2 linked regions of the Mus musculus genome follow. The protein of the gene in region 1 interacts with the protein of each later gene in a biochemical or structural test. Links are inferred from orthologs where the notes say so. Each region holds a gene or a part of one and is shown on either strand. Other genes may lie near its edges.

The links.
Region 2: the proteins of Actg1 (region 1) and Tmsb4x are reported together in a solved structure, tested with the Homo sapiens proteins (2 studies listed by BioGRID, with this or other methods). The link is inferred for Mus musculus from reciprocal best matches to the Homo sapiens genes ACTG1 and TMSB4X.

Annotation. Positions count from the first base shown.
Region 1 is NC_000077.6:120,343,510-120,353,853, reverse strand, and holds Actg1 (actin, cytoplasmic 2), read left to right. Parts: upstream 1-5,358; 5' UTR 5,359-5,429; intron 5,430-5,756; 5' UTR 5,757-5,762; coding exon 5,763-5,885; intron 5,886-5,978; coding exon 5,979-6,218; intron 6,219-6,317; exon of another isoform or gene 6,318-6,362; intron 6,363-6,440; exon of another isoform or gene 6,441-6,504; coding exon 6,505-6,943; intron 6,944-7,035; coding exon 7,036-7,217; intron 7,218-7,320; coding exon 7,321-7,464; 3' UTR 7,465-8,167; downstream 8,168-10,344. UniProt on the Homo sapiens protein: Actins are highly conserved proteins that are involved in various types of cell motility and are ubiquitously expressed in all eukaryotic cells.
Region 2 is NC_000086.7:167,202,895-167,213,238, forward strand, and holds Tmsb4x (thymosin beta-4), read right to left. Parts: upstream 6,325-10,344; 5' UTR 6,212-6,324; intron 5,158-6,211; 5' UTR 5,143-5,157; coding exon 5,043-5,142; intron 4,642-5,042; coding exon 4,607-4,641; 3' UTR 4,200-4,606; downstream 1-4,199.

The sequences.
Region 1 (10,344 bases):
CCCGCCGCTTGGCCGCAGCCCTGCCTGGGTTCCCCTATCGGAGATGACTCAGCGGTGGGTCCGCCCTAGCCCTGCCTGGTTAGTAGTTTCCTGGTCCCTCTTGGCCTTTAGGGTGAGGAGGACTTGGAACCGCAGGTGTGCTGCACCCCTCACTAAGTGGCAGTAGCCGGACCCACCTGGCGGTCCACATAGGAATGACACTGGCCGCCACTGACCTGCCTCCCGCAGGGGCCATGCCAGGGGCGCCATCTGCTGGGCCCTGTACCCAGGCTCGAACCCCAAGGTCACTGCCCCAGCATCCAACCACCTGGGACAGCTGCGCGCATAGTACCGGCCCAGCGTTCTCCTGCTCCGCCCCAGGATTTGGACTCAAGGGGGTGGTGGTGGTGGTGGGGTGGGTGGTGGTGGAGCTGGAAGGTGGCTCTTTCCTCCTGTCTGAAGTTTGAGGTGGCCTTCCCGAACTCTCAGCCTCATATGCTGAGGACCCAATGAGCGAAATGGACTGCGGACTGGGCTCCAAGGATGCGGGTGGCCAGAGGCTTGAAGGGGGATGAATGGTCTACTCACTACTGTAGCGGGCCACACACTGGATTTAGTCCTTTAGTCCAGACACTTTCACTGAGCTCGCCCGGGTCACACCTTCCTCCCCTGACCCCCGAGCCCCGCCCCGGGAGGGGTAATGGCAGGGTCAGAGTGACCCGCAGAACTCCAGCCTAGCCTCTGCCTACCTCCATGACTGCTGGGGCAGTGGCAGGGTACAGACCGTCCAGAGCACCAGCATTCTGCCCTTGTCCAGCCCTGACCTGGCTCCCAGTCAGACGCTGTGTCCACTTCCTGAGGGTGGTACACAGGCCCTGAGCCACACTAGCTCTGTAGGCTACTCCATGCTAAAGCAGGAGGTCTGGCTGACCTGTGTATTTCCCTGTCCCACCTCCTGGGTAGCTGCTCCTTGCCCATCTGGGATCACTAGAGCTTGGATTGGGGGATTCTTTCTCTCCACAGCTCCAAACCCTGCATTTTAGGATCACGATGGAAGTGGGAACCGGGTCTGCCCCACTTGCTCGGTTGTCCAGGCCCTGCTCACTTCCGCTGCCACCTCCTGAGCTGAGAAGCCTTCCCTCTCCCTTCCTTTGGCTTCCTGCCATGTGCACCACATCCAGCTTCATAAAGGACAGAGCTTCTTTGTTTAAAGATTTATGTCTAGGAGCACACTGTAGCTGTACAGATGGTTGTGAGCCTTCATGTGGTTGTTGGGAATTGATTTTTAGGACCTCTGCTTGCTCCGGTCAGCCCTGTGCATTCAGGCTCAAAGATTTATTTATTTTTTGGGTTTTTTTTTTTTGAGACAGGGTTTCTCTGTATAGCCCTGGCTGTCCTAGAACTCACTCTGTAGACCAGGCTGGCCTCGAACTCAGAAATCCACCTGCCTCTGCCTCTTGAGTGCTGGGATAAAGGTGTGTGCCACCACACCCGGCCCAAAGATTTATTATAAATAAGTACACTATAGCTGTCTTCAGCCGCACCAGAAGAGAGCGTCAGATCTCATTACGGGTGGTTGTGAGCCACCATGTGGTTGCTGGGATTTGAACTCAACACCGTTGGAAGAGCAGTCAGTGCTCTTACCTGCTGAGCCATCTCACCAGCCCACGATGGAGTTTCTGTGGCTAGCTACTCAGTGGGTATAAACAGAAGCCTCCAGTCCATGGGCCTGGGGGTGGGGGCAGTCAGTGGCAGAGGTGGAACCCAGTCAGTGACACCAAGGTGCGCAGAGCATGGATGGAACAGATCAGAAACCTGACTGGGGTGGCCAGCCTGCTAAAATGAAAGCTGAACTGGAAGCAGGTACAGACAAGCGGGGCTGGTCAGAGGACTAGAGGTGGCTGCAGGATCTGCCTCTTGTTGTGCAGAAAGTGGGTAAGAGCTGCAAGGGGGCTATCAGCTTTAGGAGGTGCATGTCTCTCAGGAGGAGGCAGCCAGCCCTTGGACACACTTTCTCAGACCACTTACCACATCCACATCTCACCACAGCAGTGAGGAACAGATGGTCCCTGGGTGCTGGAGCGGCTTAGTGGGCATAACAGGGAGCAAGGTCCTGAGAGAAGAGCTTTCTCTTTTTTGAGACAGTTTTCTCTATGTAGCCCAGGCTGTTCTGGAAGTCACTGTGTACACCAGGTGAGCTTTGAACTCACAAGAGATCTGCCTGCCTCTGCTGCTAGAGTAATGATTCAAAGGTGTGGGCCACCACACCCAGCCGAGGTGGAGCGAATCTTTGAGATCAGGCCAAGGCCTAGGCAGGCAGGCCTGCCTAGTCAGCCTCAGGTCTGACACAGGTGCACTAAGTGGCTGGGCACACCTCGGAGCAGCTGGGAACCTCCTCCAGCCGGGCAGATGCCCTTCCTAAGGGTGGGTGGGGAGGCTCTGTTTGTTGGCCAACACACTTTGTTTCATGTGTGCAGACCCTTGACCTTCATGGTTGTAATGTGTCCTGGCTTCTGCCACCCGAGGCTGGCTCAGACTCACCCTCGGTTTACTGCCTCCCTTCCAGTGGAAAGGCCAGACCTGTACCTCTCGGCACAGACAAGATGTCCCCACCTGCATGTGATGTGTCTGCAAAGGCCTAGACAGGAACGTGGACTCCAGTTATTTAGACGTTGAGCTCCTCAGACTTTTACAGTTCCCTTTTTATTCTGGGCTTTTAGGTTTACTTAAAAGTTTCAAAGACATCAGAGGAGTTCACTCATTACACTGTAACGTCAGCTCCCTTACTGAGGGTAACCTTGGCATACATTCCAAACCTGGCCTGATGCTCCCGGCCTTTTCACTCTCTTCTGTTCTAAGGTTAGGTTGACACCCCTGAGGGCAGGAACAGTGGAGACCATGTTTCTCGTTCCCGTTGCCTAACAAGGAGAAAGTGAGTATGAAGTGCCTTGGTGGGCGGAGCCTTGCTGGAGGATCCAGGTACCAAGCACAGAGGTGACCGGACTCTCCGGGGAATCCAAAGTGGCCGCAGGGAGAAGGAAGTGACAGGTTGCAGTGACCACCTGGGAGGGTGTCGGATGGAGCCAGCCTGCAGTAAATCTCCCCAACTCTTCAACTGCTGCATTAATCCACCGGAATATGAAATAAGATGCAACAACGTCACAATAAAAGCCGACCAAAGCCAGCAAAGGAAAAATGTTTTTTATCATTTCTCTAGACTGAGTCTTTCTTTACAACGGAGACACGCCCACTTCTGGCAGCCCTGCAATCGTGAGCCTGCAGCCCTGGCCTGCAGGCTCACGGAAGCCAGGCATTCTCAATTCCTGCTCCAAGTGGGGTGGGGCCGCCAACTTCCACAGCAGGCAAGAACAGCCCGGACCTGACCTTGGGCGAGGCCTCCCTCACACTGCCCAGTTGCAAAACTGACAAATCACAGCGCCTCCTTCTCGTGCACCGCGTTAGGAGGCCGGGCTGCGGCTCCGCTCCGGCGGGGCTGGGGCTACCCCTCCCCCGCGTCCCCAGGGAGGGCTGCGTCTCGGATCCCAAGCGCACAGGCGAGGGTCTCCGCGCGCACCGGCCGGAACCGCCTTTGTCCTGCGGGCCAATGGGTAGCCTGCTTGACTAAATAAGGCGAGGAGCGCGGCCCGGCGCCCCGTCCGTTACGTCCGCCCCCGTGACTCAGGGCGGCCACTGGCCTCCCGGCGGCGGGCGGAGCGCGGGTCGAAATCGCCAAATATGGCCGCGCGCCGCCCGCCGCCCCTGCCCCCACCCGCACACCTGAGTTGCACCTTGGTCCCGCGGCGGGACAAGGCGCCCCCGCCGGGGGAACCCGGCCTTACATGGCCGTTCCGTGCTCGCAGCGCCTTCTGCACACAAGCAGACAAAGGCGTCTTAAGAGAAGGCTCGGATTTGAGGGCCAGGCCCCCGGCAGTACTTCTTGGGTAGCCATGGGCGTGTCAGAGGTGTGAGTGCTCACCGAAACCTTCCACTTTCCCCACGACTCTCACCCCCACCTACAAGTGTTAGTTAGCTGTTAGCTCCTGTAGGCTCATGGTGGGGTCCTGGAGGTCCAGCCCTGCATCCCCCTCATGGGTGGTGCTCCCATTTGACAGGCACCTCTGTACAACCACAGGGCCAGCGCCCTTCTTTCTAGGCCTGATGTTGCACAAAAGGTGACTGAGTGTTGGCACGGGTTTATGGCCAGCAGGTAAGCAGGGCAGGCTGCTTGGTCCCCCTGGGTCTTGTGTTCATGTCTCAGATGGGGAGCTGACCTTGCAGGGCTGCCTGAGAGCGCCTGTGCATAGGGTGGGAGTGGCACCCCGTACCTGCTCGAATCAAGCTCTGTGCCCTGTGACCTTGGAGTCCCTCACCTCACTGCTACCCTCCGCTTCATTCCACAATGAACCATTCCAGAAGCTTACAAATAAAACCCGGTTAACTCCCGTGCCAGCTTTCTCTTCAGGCACCATCTAGGACGGCAGCGCCACGACCCTGCTAAGGGTGACAAGTTTCCAAACAGCCGGGAGAAGGGCAGCGAGGCCGGCCCGCCCCCCACGCCTGTCCGGAGGGGACTAAGGCCTAAGCATTCTGTGCCCAAAACCAGTTTGACCCGGACTTCATAATCAGTGGAGAGGAGTCTCGCCAGCTGACCCACGCGGGGGGCGGGGCTGGACCATCCTGAAAGTCGGGAGACTTCCCCTGCCTCAGTTTCCCTACAATGTGTCCCGCAAAGCCAGCATAACACAATGCCCACTCACACCACCACCACCACCTTCTTTGATGCCCAGGGACACCCAACCCCGTGACGACCCCTCCTCCAATAAAGGGACATGGCTGAAGTGGAAGAACTGGTGACCCTCTCCCACGTGACTGGGATGTGATGGCCGCTCCCCGGACCCCCGGGAATCCCTCCAGCCCGTCCCCAGCCAGGCACACACGGACCCTGTAGAGAAAGGTCCTGGGGGGTGTGCGGGGCACAGGATTCACATAGGGGCGGGGGCCACGGGACTCACCCCAGATCGGGGCGCGGCCCGCCCCGGGCTTGGCAGTTTCGGGGCGCAGCCCGGGCCCTCCCTGCTACGCGGCAGTCCCGGGGCAGGGCAGGGCCGATCGCACGCACGCCACTCGCCGAGACCCCCGCGAGCAAGAACCGGGCCTCCCGGGGTCGCGAGCGCGCGGGGGCGGCGCGGGCGGGGCCGTTGGCGGCGGCGCGGGCCAGGGGCGGGCGGGCCCGGGCCCCACGTGTCCCTGGCGGGCGGGCCAATAGGCGCCCGGCTTTTGGAAAGATCGCCATATATGGACATGTTCTGGGGCCGCGCGCGCCCCCGCCCGCGCGCGCGGCCCGCTCCCGCTTAAATAGCGGCGGGGGAGGCCGCGGTCGGTCTCACACTCCGCCGCCGGCTTACACTGCGCTTCTTGCCGCTCCTCCGTCGCCGCCGCGTCCTTCGCCGGTAAGCTGCCGCTCCCCGGGCTTGGCCCAGTGACTTCCTGTGGCCCTTTCTTCCCGCTCACCCTGCCTGCCGCACCGCTGCGGAGCGGAGCGGAGCGCAGGGCGCCTGACGGGTGGGCCTGGGTCTGCAGCCGCGGCTGGGGGCAGGGCGGGGCCCGACGCAATGCGCAGCCCCTCCTCGCCGCGGCGGAACGGGGCGCTGCCGGTAGCCGACGGTTACGCCGCCCGGGGTGGGGACTGCACTCCTCCGGGGTGGCTCGGCCCTGGCCGAGGACATTTTCTGAGTTCGGTGAGGGCTGCGCTAATTCCGGGGCTTCTTCCTGCGCAGATCGCAATGGAAGAAGAAATCGCCGCACTCGTCATTGACAATGGCTCCGGCATGTGCAAAGCCGGCTTTGCTGGCGACGACGCCCCCAGGGCCGTGTTCCCTTCCATCGTAGGGCGCCCCCGACACCAGGTTAGTTGAGAGGAGTGGCCTCCCTTGTGTTCTCTCTGGGCCCGGGTCGCGCGGTGGGTGGGGCGAGTCTGACCGCGGCCTTTTCTCTCGCAGGGCGTCATGGTGGGCATGGGCCAGAAAGACTCATACGTGGGTGACGAGGCCCAGAGCAAGAGGGGTATCCTGACCCTGAAGTACCCTATCGAACACGGCATTGTCACTAACTGGGACGACATGGAGAAGATCTGGCACCACACCTTCTACAATGAGCTGCGTGTGGCTCCTGAGGAGCACCCGGTGCTTCTGACCGAGGCCCCCCTGAACCCCAAAGCTAACAGAGAGAAGATGACGCAGGTATGCTTGAGCCGGGACCTTGCCTCCCCTTGGGCGTGACGAGTCATTTTGTGTTGTGCCTCATTTCCTGACATTCAAGCGTTTCTTTGGTGTTTCTAGGGTTCTGTTCCTCTTCTCCTGGCATTTCCTCCCTGAAGCCTCCAGGTTTCTGTTTGCGTTTCTGCTTGCGTTCTGTTCTTTTTTTCTTCACACATCACATTTGTGGCATGCAGCATGCAGAGTGTGGGTGTGGGAGGCTCAGGGCCCCTGCTACTCACTCACTCAGGTGTTCTTTGTCTTTCCACAGATAATGTTTGAAACCTTCAATACCCCAGCCATGTACGTGGCCATTCAGGCGGTGCTGTCCTTGTATGCATCTGGGCGCACCACTGGCATTGTCATGGACTCTGGTGACGGGGTCACACACACAGTGCCCATCTATGAGGGCTACGCCCTTCCCCACGCCATCTTGCGTCTGGACCTGGCTGGCCGGGACCTGACAGACTACCTCATGAAGATCCTGACTGAACGGGGCTACAGCTTTACCACCACTGCTGAGAGGGAAATTGTTCGTGACATAAAGGAGAAGCTGTGCTATGTTGCCCTGGATTTTGAGCAAGAAATGGCTACTGCTGCATCATCTTCCTCCTTGGAGAAGAGTTACGAGCTGCCCGACGGGCAGGTGATCACCATTGGCAATGAGCGGTTCCGGTGTCCGGAGGCACTCTTCCAGCCTTCCTTCCTGGGTAGGTGTCCACAACATGATTTAGGAGCCAAGGGGCTCTCAGAAGGGATGGAACACACAGAATGTAGTGGCTAAATGAGCTCTGTTCCCTAGGCATGGAGTCCTGTGGTATCCATGAGACCACTTTCAACTCCATCATGAAGTGTGATGTGGATATCCGCAAAGACCTGTATGCCAATACAGTGCTGTCTGGTGGTACCACCATGTACCCAGGCATTGCTGACAGGATGCAGAAGGAGATCACAGCCCTAGCACCTAGCACGATGAAGATTAAGGTGAGTGGCTACCACCCGGCCTGAGCTGGCCTTAGGACCTGTGGCTGGGAAGTGGGACCCACAGGAAGGGCATGAGTGCTCATTCAGTGTTTTTCCTCCACAGATCATTGCTCCCCCTGAGCGCAAGTACTCAGTCTGGATCGGTGGCTCCATTCTGGCCTCACTGTCCACCTTCCAGCAGATGTGGATCAGCAAGCAGGAGTATGATGAGTCAGGCCCCTCCATCGTCCACCGCAAATGCTTCTAGATGGACTGAGCAGGTGCCAGGCATCTGCTGCATGAGCTGATATTGAAGTATCAATTTGCCCTGGCAAATGTACACACCTCATGCTAGCCTCATGAAACTGGAATAAGCCTTTGAAAAGAAATTTGTCCTTGAAGCTTGTATCTGATATCAGCACTGGATCGTAGAACTTGTTGCTGATTTTTGACCTTGTATTCAAGTTAACTGCTCCCTTGGTATATGTTTAATACCCTGTGCATATCTTGATTTAGTCCTTAGTTCATGTGGCTCGGTCACTTGGGGGCTGGGGAGAGCACGCTGTAGATGAGAAAGCCCCAGCCTGGTGGATCTCTGTGAGCACCACTGAGTGATCTGTGCAGGGTATTAACCAACAGCAGACTTCCAGGATTTCCTGAGGCTGGCAAGGGTTCCTGAACCAGTTACCACTCCTTCTTGCCAGTCTAACAGGGTGGGAAAGTCCGAGCCTTAGGACCCAGTTTCAGTTCTGGTTTCTTCCCTCCTGACCACCATCGGTTGTTAGTTGCCTTGAGTTGGGAACGTTTGCATCGACACCTGTAAATGTATTCATTCTTTAATTTATGTAAGGTTTTTTGTACTCAATTCTTTAAGAAATGACAAATTTTGGTTTTCTACTGTTCAATGAGAACATTAGGCCCCAGCAACACGTCATTGTGTAAAGAAATAAAAGTGCTGCAGTAACTGACCATTGTTTTTCTGGTTTGGCACAGGGCTGTGGGGTAGGGTGGAGTTGGGAAATGGAAAGGTGTGTCTGGTTGCCTAGCAGCAGAAAGCCTTCCCATTGGTAAGAAAGCCTGTACCCCAGCTTAAAGCCAGCCATGCTTGGAGCAGATTGTTCACTCCCTGCCACATTCTCAAAGGGTAAGGAATTAGGCCAGACAGGCAGCCACAATGAAGGGCCTCACACAGAAGCATTGGTGAGGAGAGCAGGCAGCTCTGGTGTTATCAAGTCATGAACAAGTAAGGAATGTAGCCATGGTCAAAAGAGAAGTAACCTAGATGTCTTAACAATTGCAGCCTTTAAGAGGCCATGCAACATTATTCCTCTATACAGGAATGAAGCTTAGCCACATAGACAACCTGGTAAGACTGGTTATCCAAAGGTGGTGCTGTCAGCACAGGGTTAGGGTTTGGCTGCTCAATGGGAACAGTCTAGGGTGATGAGGCTCTGGAATTAGGGCTAGAGATGCATTTCAATAGATGTTGGAGCTGAGTGCTTGCCAGGCCCTAGGTTGAGTTCCAGGAACCACCTGAATTGAGCATGCTGGCATGCCCGTTAGCAACTCAAGTGGAGGTGACAGGATCAGGAATTAAAAAGTCTTTTAGATTTATTTATATGTAAGTACACTGTAGCTGTCTTCAGACACTCCAGAAGAGGGAGTCAGATCTCCTTATGGATAGTTGTGAGCCACCATGTGGTTGCTGGGATTTGAACTCCGGACCTTCGGAAGACTGCTCTTCCGAAGGGTGCTCTTACCCGCTGAGCCATCTCTCCAGCCCCTCAAAAGTCATTTTTATATATGCAGTGAATTCAGCCAGGCCTCCCTGAGACCCTGTTTGTTTGTTTGTTCGTTTGTTTTTTGTTTTTTTAAAGTGGATGGGGGTTGGTGGGACTGGAGAGTGGTTAAGAGTAGAGAACCTAGTTCTCAGTACCTGTAACTCTAGTTCCAGGGCACCCCATGCCCTTTTCTGGCTTCTGGGCTCCTGCAAGAACTGTTGCATATAAATCGTTGCATATAAATTCATCTAGGCAAACACACATTAACAAAATAATTTTAGCCAGGCAGTGGTGGCGCATGCCTTTAATCCCAATACTTGGGAGGCAGAGGCTGAGTTCAAGGCCAGCCTGTTCTACAGAGTGAGTTCCAGGACAGCTAACAGTTATACAGAGAAATCCTGTGAATAAATAAAAACAACCCCAAAATAATTTTAAAACATTTTAAAAACTGAGTGTGATTGCACTGGGAAGGTAGGGGCAGGTGGATCTCTTGAGTTTGAGGCCAACCTGGTCTACAGAGTAAACTCCAGGCCAGCTAGGGCTACAAAGTGAGACCCTGTCTAAACAAAATAACCCCCCTCACACATACATACACACAATAAGCCAGGCAGTGGTGCACACCTTTAATCCCAGCCCTCTGGGGGCAGGGGGAGGTGGATCTCTCTGAGTTGGAGGCCAGCCCCTGGTCAACAGAGTTCCAGGACAGCCAGGGCTACAGGGAAAGACCTGTCCTGGAAATAAATACATTTAAAGATACAGCATTACAGACAAAAAGAGTCTAGACAGCTAAGTAGCAACATGAAGAGATACTGAGGCCCCAGCCCCAGAAGCTAAGACTCCTACCTTCAACACCAACCCTAGTTCACACTATGTTGCTTCTGGGAGCCCAGCTTGGCCGAAGGTCCCTGGCCTGTGATGAGAGACAACCTTGGCCACTGGAACTCACCTTGGACTATCTGCCTGATGGTGACTAGATCGGCTTGGGCCGCTGGAATGTCTTGGACAGAATAGGGCACCTGAGGAGGAAGGTAGGGCAAAGTATAATATAGATAGACAGAGGATGGACGGACAGACAGGCAGGCAGATAAAACTGGATGGACTGGAACCTCTGAAGTGGACTCTATATCTGACAATCCAGAAAATGAAATGCCTTTCCCGGCCTGGAGCACTGGCCTTGGTGATGCCCCTGCTCCATCCCCAGCCAGCCCTCACTGCCTGCTGGTTTCTGATGTAGATCTTTCCTGCCAGCTCCAGACTACCTAAAAGTTAATCAGCCAGTCTGTCTCCTTAGATTCATAGAGACCCAGGTCTGGTGTCACCATCACACCTGGCACAAAGTCAGCCTTGAATATACATTTGTAAGATGA
Region 2 (10,344 bases), on another chromosome or scaffold:
ATTTATCCTTTCAGACAATATTTTAAAGGCCCGGCATGGTGATGTTTCAAGTCTCAGCTCTGGAGAGGCTGATGCAGAGAGATCCTGGCTAGTCTGAACTGCATGGTGAGCCCTGGTCGGTCTCAGAACAAACCAAACCAAAGCACCACCAGGAAGCTCATGGAGCTTACCGCCTCAGGATCAGGAAGTATGAGTGAAAGTACGAAATGACAGAGTTTCAGAGGACATGGAATGCTGATGGCTGATCTTTAACTAGTGTTGGAGAGTAGAGAAGAAACTGTGTGCATTGGAGAAATTGGTGAAGAGATATGTAAATAAACTAAATGGAATATTCCAATGCTCTTTGTCTGGCAAATTGAAGGCTTTAGAGTTCTCAGAAATAAATAATTGATCTTATCAAAAAAAGAAGGAAGAAAAGAAAAAGAAAGAAATTCTGTATAACTTTCCCTTTAAATGTATATGATATTCAATGAAAGAAGCCTACATGTATTATGATATTTAAAATGACTTAGCTTTCTTCCGCTTTGAAGTAAGTTGATTTGCAAGAAACTTAGGATTTTTAAAGCTAAATGTCATTATTATTTTTCTCCAGTCTTCTAATAAACATGATTTTCAGGTTGCTTTTATTTCTCCTCCTCCTCCTCCTCCTCCTCCTCCTCCTCCTCCTCCTCCTCCTCCTCTTCTCCTTCTTCTCCTTCTTCTTCGGATGCCAATGCAGTCTTTCAGATACATTCTGATAGTGTTCTCTAAATTAAACTTGATTATTTTTTTCATAAAAAAGCACGAACATATAATAGTGCTATCTAGAATATTAATCACATGTTCAAAAGTACTTCTAAGTCAGCACATTGCATGAAGTCTCCAATTAAGGAGCAAAGCTCTAATTAATGTTTCTCTTACCGTGCGAGACTTTTAAACAGGAAAGAATACTCAATACACACCCAAGGAAGGTAGCATGCACAACTCCGTCCACACAATTGAGGAAGGCAGGAAGCAGACGACATGGCTAGAGAAGACTATACAAATGCCCTAGGGAAATATAACTTGATGCATGCAGTTTTCAGTTCTTTCTACATTTGATTCTTAAGCTTGTCATTGTGCCCCCTTTCATTATGCACAAATAAAAGTATAGATGGATCCCCAAATGGTGTGTTTCTTTCTGTTAGATTATCTTGTAAGCTGCTCATGAAGATATAATTTACAAATAACTTTTAAAAGCCTAATATACAACTGAGCGCAGTGGGGTGAGAGCAAAGAAAGTGCTTACATTGCTTCTCTCACTTTCACACTAGGCCCATGCCGGCTGCTATGGAAACATTTCCTGCTCTCTACATTATTGAAAACTTTTTAAATGTACATTTTGAGCTAAGGAAGACTCACGATTTTTTTAAAATTTATTTTCTGGCTGTAACACAGTTTCCAAAATGCAGTATTCTTTCTAGTAAGCATGAATAGCACTCATATTTTTAGAAATGTTGGGAAAAGAAAGAAGAAACAAACTCAGTTTTGTGTCTTGAGGAATTATGCTTCTCTGGGAGAAAGAAACAGAACCTTCAGTGCGTGTATGGGCAACGAAACCTAGGTGTGGCTACAAGGGCTGGAAGAAGTGTAGGAAGGCTGAGCGGCTGTGCGCATGTCAGACTGTTTGCCTGCCCCCATGCCTTCTACTCCACACTTACTCAATCATTTTGCACACACTACCAAAAGTGTGCTGTTCTCCTGAAAAGTGGCTTTAAAAGTCCATCCACGAGAAGGTTGGGATATGCACAGCTAAAATAGTTGAAAATTTGGTGAGCTTTGAAAACAGCTCCAACCCACGGGTCTTTCAGTGAGCCTTTTCTTTTCTCCAGTTCTGGTTTATTCATCTAGATTGGTTCCAAGTTTACAGAACTTCAAAACTCTGTGACTGGTTTTTATCCCATTTTATTCTAGAGACAGGAGTTTTTCTGGAGTCCCAAAATGCCCTGGAACTTAGGTTGATCCTCATGTCTTATCCTACCAAGTCCTGGATTACATGCATGCACCACTAGGTTCAGTTTGTCTGCAGTGTACAGAAGTTCCTTTGGCCCATTCCTTCTGAGAGGAGACCAGTCAAAGATGTGGTAACAAGTGTGTCTAGTTGAAATATTCTCTCTCTTGTACTAAGGATACATTTCTTTTCTCCTTCAACATCTCTGAAAATACTGGCAACCTTAAGTGCTCAGGTAGCAGAAACATAAATTCCCCCAGGAATTCCTAAATACCTCCAGCCCTTCTGGAAGATTCTCTCCTAGGAAGAATACAGAATGCTTCATCAAATAAAGCATTTAAAAATGATAATAGTAATAATACCCCACCACCATCACCACCATAACAAAACAGCAGCAAAGGACTCTCTTCTACTCCAGTAGCATTTTAGTCAAATTCCAATATCTCATGATGTGGGCAGTTGTTCCTGACTTTGCACCCATTTCTCAGCATTTGGTCATTTCTAATTTTCTTTCATTTTCGTTATTTTGAGAGAGGGTCCTTTGTACTCAAGTCTGGCTCCAAACCTCCTATGCAGCTGACGATGGCCTTGAAAGATCTTCCTGCCTCCACCACCACTCCAGGTTTAATGTAGTGCTAAGACTCAAACCTCAGGTTTCATACATGTTAGGCAAGCACTTTACTAATAGAGCTATATCCCCAGGCCTGGATTTTTAACTCTGCCTTTTTGTCCCCACTACATTTTGTCTTGGTCTTCCTGGGACAGAAAGGCCATCTTTTCCACCACGGACCTGTCTAAACCATTCCTTTCCCCCATCCTTTTTTAAACTGAGGAACCCTGGAATTTTGTGAAATTTTTCTAATTTTTTTTCCATCTTGGATCCTTTAAAAAATGCACACAGCAAAAAATTGCATGTGTCTGTTTTCTCTCTGTGGTTTGGGCATTTTCTTTAAACTGCCTTGTAGGTCAGCAAAGAAATGTCAGGGCTAGAGGACTGCCCCACCCCCCACCCCCAGAACCTTTGTGCTGGCTGCTTGGGCTCCTCTGCAGAGTGAATGAGCTGTGGCCAACACATGCACACATCCTATCCCTGACAGGCAGATAAAGGCCTGTTCACTGATGGTCTCCTCGATTGTCTAAACCACAGGTGGTTTCATGTGCATTTCTCAAAGGAAGTGTTGAGCAAAGGAAATCCACTGGGTTTGGTAATCCACCACCCACCCTACAAGCCAGTATTTTCACAAGCCCAGTTTTAGAAGAAAAGTTCCTCCTGTGGACATTTGCTTTGTATGCTTCAGCCTTGCTGAGATATTGTGTAAGCTAATGATCTTAAAATATTGCTTTATTTGGCTTAATAGATCTGCACCCTTCGGAAAGAACAGAGTCATCCATGAAGGAGCTTCAAGTACCTTCATTTTACTGTTAACAAGTGATAGCTCGTTTTTCCTCCCTTTCTACATGTTGTGGCCTGGCCAGAACAAGGACTTTGCGTGTACCCGCCAATTAAATATGCAGCTCAGATGACTGCCGATTAGGAGGACTCAAGCCCTTCGGGTCAGCCGATGGTTATCTGGCCCAGATTTCACCTGTCCTGCATTTGTCCTCTAAGCTCAAGCATTCCTTATGAGGATTTCACTAAGTTCAGATCATCACTTACTGGTAAACACGTTTACTTTAATAAAGCCGATTTTAAACATTGAGCTTCATTTGCAAACTGGCCGCTAGACAAGGACAAACCAATTCTAAATTCCTTTCTAAAGCAAATACTATTTTTACCCTAAATTCCACTTGTTCAATACCAGATAGTTGGTTAGCCAAGTTCATGTTGATACCTAATGCTAGTGTACCAAACCAACACCCTTTGCGTTGAGTGATATGTAATAAATTCAATGTTGGCTTTCCAAAACTCCTGAAAGGCTCTAACTACACGTGAGTTCCTCCCCCCTACCCCTTCATTCCACAGCCCCCTTCTTCCAACCATGGTGGCTATACCAATTTCAAATATTTTCATTAACTCTTCCATGTAACCCATGAGGAACTCTTATGATGACCTCCCAATCATTTGCTATAGACAGGGTATTTCACAGACCTGGACTAAGCCAGAGCTGTTAGGCCAAGGCAGTTTACGTTTGTCTCTTCTATGTCCCAGTGACCAAGAGGCAAGGCAGTTTTGCAAGGGTTTTATCACTCATTTAACTACTCCTTCCAGTCACCAAGCAGACACACCAATCAGGTTTTAAAACTTTATTTGCATATTAAAAAAATTGTGCATTCCAATAATTAAAATTGTTTGAACAAAAAAAAATGGCACTCTGATTAAACTGCATTTTACATCCTGCAGGACATCTTTGACCATCTTGAATTTTCCTCTCTATTTCATCATCTCCCACCCAGCTTTTTCCTTCACCAACATGCAAGTTCTTTTCCCTCTCTGCTAGCCAGACCATCAGATGGGTGGGAGAGGCAGGGGAGGCCTTCCTGCTCAGTAGTTCTGATTCTTTGATGTGAAAGGGGCAGCACAGTCATTTAAACTTGATCCAACCTCTTTGCATCTTACAAAGTTAAACAGCTAAAAGAAGTAAAATAAGAAGGCAATGCTCGTGGAATGTACAGTGCATATTGGCGGCGCTCGCCTCATTACGATTCGCCAGCTTGCTTCTCTTGTTCAATTGCTGTGAAGAAAAGAAAAAAAAAAGGAGACTTAGAGCATTCTATAAAATGACATGATTTCCATTTAAAAACCCTATAAAAATTCTAGAAAGACACATAGCAGCCTCGCTAAGCAAGACATGCTAAACAGAAGTACAGTTACCCAATAAATGTATATGCACAATATGGAATATGAAATATTCCATTATTAAATCACTAGAGCCCGGCGCTTGTTGACTGCAAAACAGTTTTTAATTAACCTTTGCAGGCCATATTCATCATCATCAAACTGTCGACTCCTCCCCCGCAGCCCCCCCCCCCATCCTCCCTGCTGCCCCTCCCTTCCTCCTCCCGGCCGCTGCTCCCCGCTCTGCTCTGCTCCCGCCCAGCCCGTTCTGAAAATGGGTGGGGGCGAACAGCTTACTTTCTTTTGAAGGCAGAGGATTTTTCTCTTGCGTTTCTGTTTTCTTCAACTTCGACTTATCGAATTTCTCGATCTCAGCCATATCGGGTTTGTCAGACATGGTTGCTGGAAGGAGCTGCAGGTACAAAAGCCAAGACCAGAGCTAAGAAAGAGCCACCCACCCTCGCCTCTCCCAGTTCCAAAAGCACACCCCCACCCCGCCGGAAAGCCCAAAGCCTGAAATCCTACTGCCTCTCCCTCTGTGTGCTTTCCTTGTCGAGTCCTCTCTAAAGATCTTCCTCTTTCTATAGGAAAAAAATCTTCCCCCTTAATATTCCCAAAGGGAAGATTCAAAGAACGAAGGTGGAAATAGTCAAAGGTGAGTATTCCCGTATAATAAAATTCACCATTGCGGAATGTTAACATTGCAGCTTTGAAAAAATTAAAGTCTGGATAGATCGAAGCCATTTCCAGTTTAAGTGGGGGAAAGTCTAGTAAAATCTCTTAAAAAGGAGCCAAGGTCGCAATACGCATCTCCGTTTTCTAGAAGGGCTTGCTCTCCAAAAGATGCCAGGCGGTCCAGCTTTCTCCTCCTCACAAAGGCGGGGGAGCTGACGCCGCCAGCTGCCGACCACCGCCCTACTCGCTTCCTCTCCTCTCTCTAGTCCAACAATGCTGCCTTGGCACACAAAACTGCCTCCCCACTTCTCGCAAAAGCATCTTGATCTGCATACAGGGGCCTTTTGACGGCCTTTGCATACATTCGTCTGCAAGGGCTTCCGAATTTTCACGCTAAAGGCCGGGAAGGTTAAACCCGCCACAGATAACAGCCCTCGAAGCCATTAGGCGATTAAGGGGAGCACAGAGCGTTTGAACAAAGGATCTTTCTAATTCTGATTAATTACAGCTAGCTAGGCAAGGGAAAATATTTCGGAGAGAGGGTCGAGGAGAAAAAAAAAACAATTCCCCTCTAAGCTGCGCAACAGAATGCCCAATTTTATGGGGTTTTCTCTTTCTTAATCAAGTTCCCCTTCCCGTTACTCGGCATCTGGAAGAGTTTAGCATCCCCCCCCCCCAATTCCCCGAAACTACCATGCCTTGGACTTGGCTTTAAGGACGAGGAGGATGAGGGGCAAGTGCCTGCGCTGGACAGGCAGGGAAGGACAGAAGGAAGGGGCCCTGGGGCTCACCCGAGCGAGCTGCGCGAACGAGGAGAGTCTGATCTGCTCAGAAGCCGCTGCGGATTGTCGGGAGGGGCGCGGCGAACGCCGCTTTATGTGTGCTTCTATGCAAATGAGGTGATGTCACTCGTAGTCCGGCTTAACTCCTTCGCGCCGCATCTCCGGAAGGGCGTTCGGAGGCTGTCAGACCCCCTCCCAACCCCCACATCCCCATTCACCAGCGCCTTTGAACCACATCGATGGCGGAACTAGAAAAGGAACAAACGCCTTCAAAATGCTTTCCCCCCCATTTGACGTCTATTTTATTATCATGAACTTTTGCAGCAGCCGCCCAAACCTGTTCTTAAGGTTCAATGCGTGATAACTAATGGCCTGAGTGGCACCTAAGGGGACAGGCTTTTCTTTACTTTGAAACCGGCTTTGTCTGCAGCCAACGCCCCCAAGATAGGGTGAGGTGTCCCTCATACAAGAGCTGCTGGGGTCTGATTCCAATGACTCAGCTTTCAGACCAGTGGACAGCCCCACCCGGCCCTCTTTGTCTCCCTCGCTTGTCTCCCCCTTGATTTGAGAGGGCGATAAAGGATCCTTGAGTGGATTTTTAAAAGAAAAGTTTTAGCGCCGCAGCATTTGTATTGTTTGCTATAATTTCCGTGAGCAATCGAGTCAAGTGCCTAACATTTGCTAGGTGTAAGGGGGCTTCAGAGAGAACACAGCCGGCCCCTTCAAAATTAAGTCAAAGTCAACTTCTGTTACTGACTGACAATAAGGAAGTTCATTTTCCTTTTCTTATTTTCATCAATTAAAAGTGATTGCTAATGGGAGCCAAGGATTCCCAAAGACCACAAGTCCATCAGCTCTATTATCTGAGGATTGAAGCTGAAGCGCGAACTAGCTTTTGAAGGGAAGGTTTTCCCTGCAACACATGTGGACGATTCAGGTAGAGATGTGCCGGTTTCAAAATGGCACCTGAGTCCGTAAGTCGCAGGGACCCACTTGCTACTAAAAAGTAATTACAGATACCAAGCTTGTGCCTGCAAGTGGCAGGTGGTTGGAGGTAGCTCCGTAGGATATTTTTAAAAGGGCATCGCTGGGATTATATCTGAGACACAGAGAACTATAAAACATTCCTTCTCCTTTTCTGTGCCCTGGAGGGATGTTTCCAGAAAGCCTTTGCTAAGCATTTTTATGGCAGAGGCTTTGCCTCTCTGGTAATGTCAAGTGTTATTAGGGACCCTAAACTGCCGCTGCTGGAGCAGCTTGGACTTCCCCATTTCTTCATCTACTTCCCTTTTACTTGGGAGGAAGGAGATGGGGGTAGGGAGGAGCAGGTGACCCATGTGGTTCCCCAGTTAATGCTCTACTTGGGAGACTGCCTTTCTGCCCTTTGGATGGGGCCCTAGACCTGTTTGAGCGCGCATTAGATGTCACTTCTCTGGTAACACATCCTCTCTCTCCCCATGTCCACTTGGAGGGAGTTCACTGCATTGTTGAAACACAGAACACATCTTGCAGGGTGCATTTCTGACTTCTGCTTGGCAGCTGCAGTTACACTGACACCATTTCGGTGGGTCATTGGATTCCAGTGTCCCTTCCTTCACTCAGCTGTCACCGTGTACGTGTCTTCCTATGACAAAGGAATGCTATCGCCTTGACCCTGGTTGCCTGTTTGCCTTAGGAAAGATTAGCCCTTACAGAAGTTATGCGGCCAGAGGAGACTGAAGAGTGGAATCTGTAAACATCTAGAATTTTCTACTTTCGTAACAGCGTAGCAGGCAGATTATTTTAGCTGCTGACTGAAAAAGAGCAGGCAGCCTGTAAGAGAGGAAGCAACTTGCCCTGGGAACTGAGTCCTCTGTAAACGGGCTTCCCTTGCCCACTGGGCAGAAAAATAGAAAAGAAAGGGTGATCCGGATAAAATGAAATGCAAATAAGAGGGTTTGTCTTAAAAGTGTCCGGGTCCTCCTGTCGATCATTCTTCTCTTAACTCTTCTCTGTAAAGTGGACAAGTGGTGATAAGGAACTGTAGGAGTTGTGGGAAGATCAAGTTCTTGGGACAATGGCGAGCACTGTGTTCTCTTCTTATTTAAAATAGAAAGTTGAGAAGAAAAGAATAAATGTGTTCTTGTTTGCCATTAACAAAAACCTCAAGTAATTTGGCATTTCATCTCTTATAAAGGGAAATGTATATATTTCATTACATATTTCTGCATAACTAATACTTGACGATATCATTTATCTAATAAATTACCAGTGAAAATTAGATATTTTGTGGGTTTTTTTTTTTTTTTTGCAAATAAAAATAACTCATTTGGCAGAGCATTTGCCTAGACTGCACCAAGCCCTAGGTTCAATCTCTAGTGTGACATAAAACAGGCCTGGCATGACTCGCCTGAAATGCCAGCACCCAGGAGGTAGAGGCAAGAGGATGCTACTAAACCAGCCTGTTTCTTGACACCTAGAAGATAGTATTTGCTCAATTAACCATCATCACACTGCTTCAGTTGATTCTCAGTACTTGAAGTCAGTTCCTTAACAGATGACTTGAATAACCGGTTTCCATCTCAGACAGTTGAATCTACTTAGCATTAATATTCCAGATGTCAGGGATAACTGCTGCTTCAGGGAAGGAAGCATTTAGAAGAAGATTAGCATATACTGGGCACAATAACCACTGAGGTGAGAGTTTTCAATTCCAATTAAAGGGACAAAGACAAAGATGTGAAGATACAATAATAATAATAATAATAATAATAATAATAATAATAATAATAATAGCTTCCAGAGGCCCTGGTCCCTTCAGCTGCATGGTGGATTCTGTTCTCTGGGGCCTTCCAGTGAAAGGCAAGCAAAGAGTCCACCTCACAAGCACTCTGCCTCTCTCAGCTCACAGGTCATGGCACCCTGTGAGAAACAAGCCAACGAAGTTGCCCCTCCCTGTGGAAGCTCATGCCTCAGGGATCCAGGAAGTGGCGCGAGCTGGCACTTTGTTTTCTTTTGCTTTCCAGTGTGGGCCTAGGCCAAAATTGTGTGCATTTCCAATGATGGAGCGACAGCCCATAGAAGTCTGAGCTTATGAAAATGAGTCCTATGATCTGAAACTTTTTTAGTTTTGGCCGGAATACTAATCAGAAGGAAAAAGAGGAGGAGCCAGGGACATGGCAGGGCAGGGCTGTCAGCTCTTTGCTTGTTCAAACCCAGCTCTTTTTGTCTGAGTTCAGGGCCTCCTACCATCTGCCCCACCTGCCTGCAGCCCACACTCCCCTGGGGGCTCCTACAATTGCCACCTTTCCTTCTGACGCTTCCTTACAGTTGACCCCGCCCCCTTGTACCCGGGAGAAGCTAAATCCCTGTGAACAGCCAGGAGTCCCTAGGTAACAGAAGATGAAAAGGACAAAGGAGGGATTTTGTACGTCCCTGAAGCCTTTGCATATAGACTAGGATTCAGTTCTCATCCTCTATGCACTGGATACAGACTTCCTCATTTTACTACGAAAGAAACTGAGGCTCATAAAATTTAAGCAACTTTCTCTAAAGCAAACATCCTATTAAAAGTCTATCTCCTTCCTTCGACTCCTGCCACTAGGTTCACTGAAGAGACCTTTTTCCAGCATTCTCTAGAGTTCTCACCCATGGCAGCTCCACGTTGTGGCTCCAGTACAGTAAAACAAAGGGCTCCCCCCTCACCCCCCGCCAGTGTGAGAAAAATGAGTGGAGGAAAACCGGCAAGCACAAACAAAATCAAGAGCTCCCCGCGCCCTGCCCCGTGCATGTGCAGCATTGCTAATTGCCCTGTCCTCTTCTTGATCTGAAGGAATTTCTGCAGCTTGAGTTTGCCTCTACAACATCCCCTCCAAGTGGTTACTCGGCCTCCCAGCTAGGAGAGCCGGTTTAAACAGAATCTTTGAGTCTTGCAGAGGGCAGTGAGTTTGGCAAGGGACTTGCATGGGAGGAAAGAGAGTGGCAGGAAATGTTGTTGAAAGGAAGGAAGGTAACAGGCTGAAGAATAATACTGCTTGCGAGCATGGTCATAATAAGAGCGGTGGTAAGAGCCAGCATTTTCTGACTTTCTGCTGTATCCTGGGAGCTCTCCCTGCAGTATCCCAGAAGACCTGATAAGGAGGCCCGCTATTTCCCTCACTTTG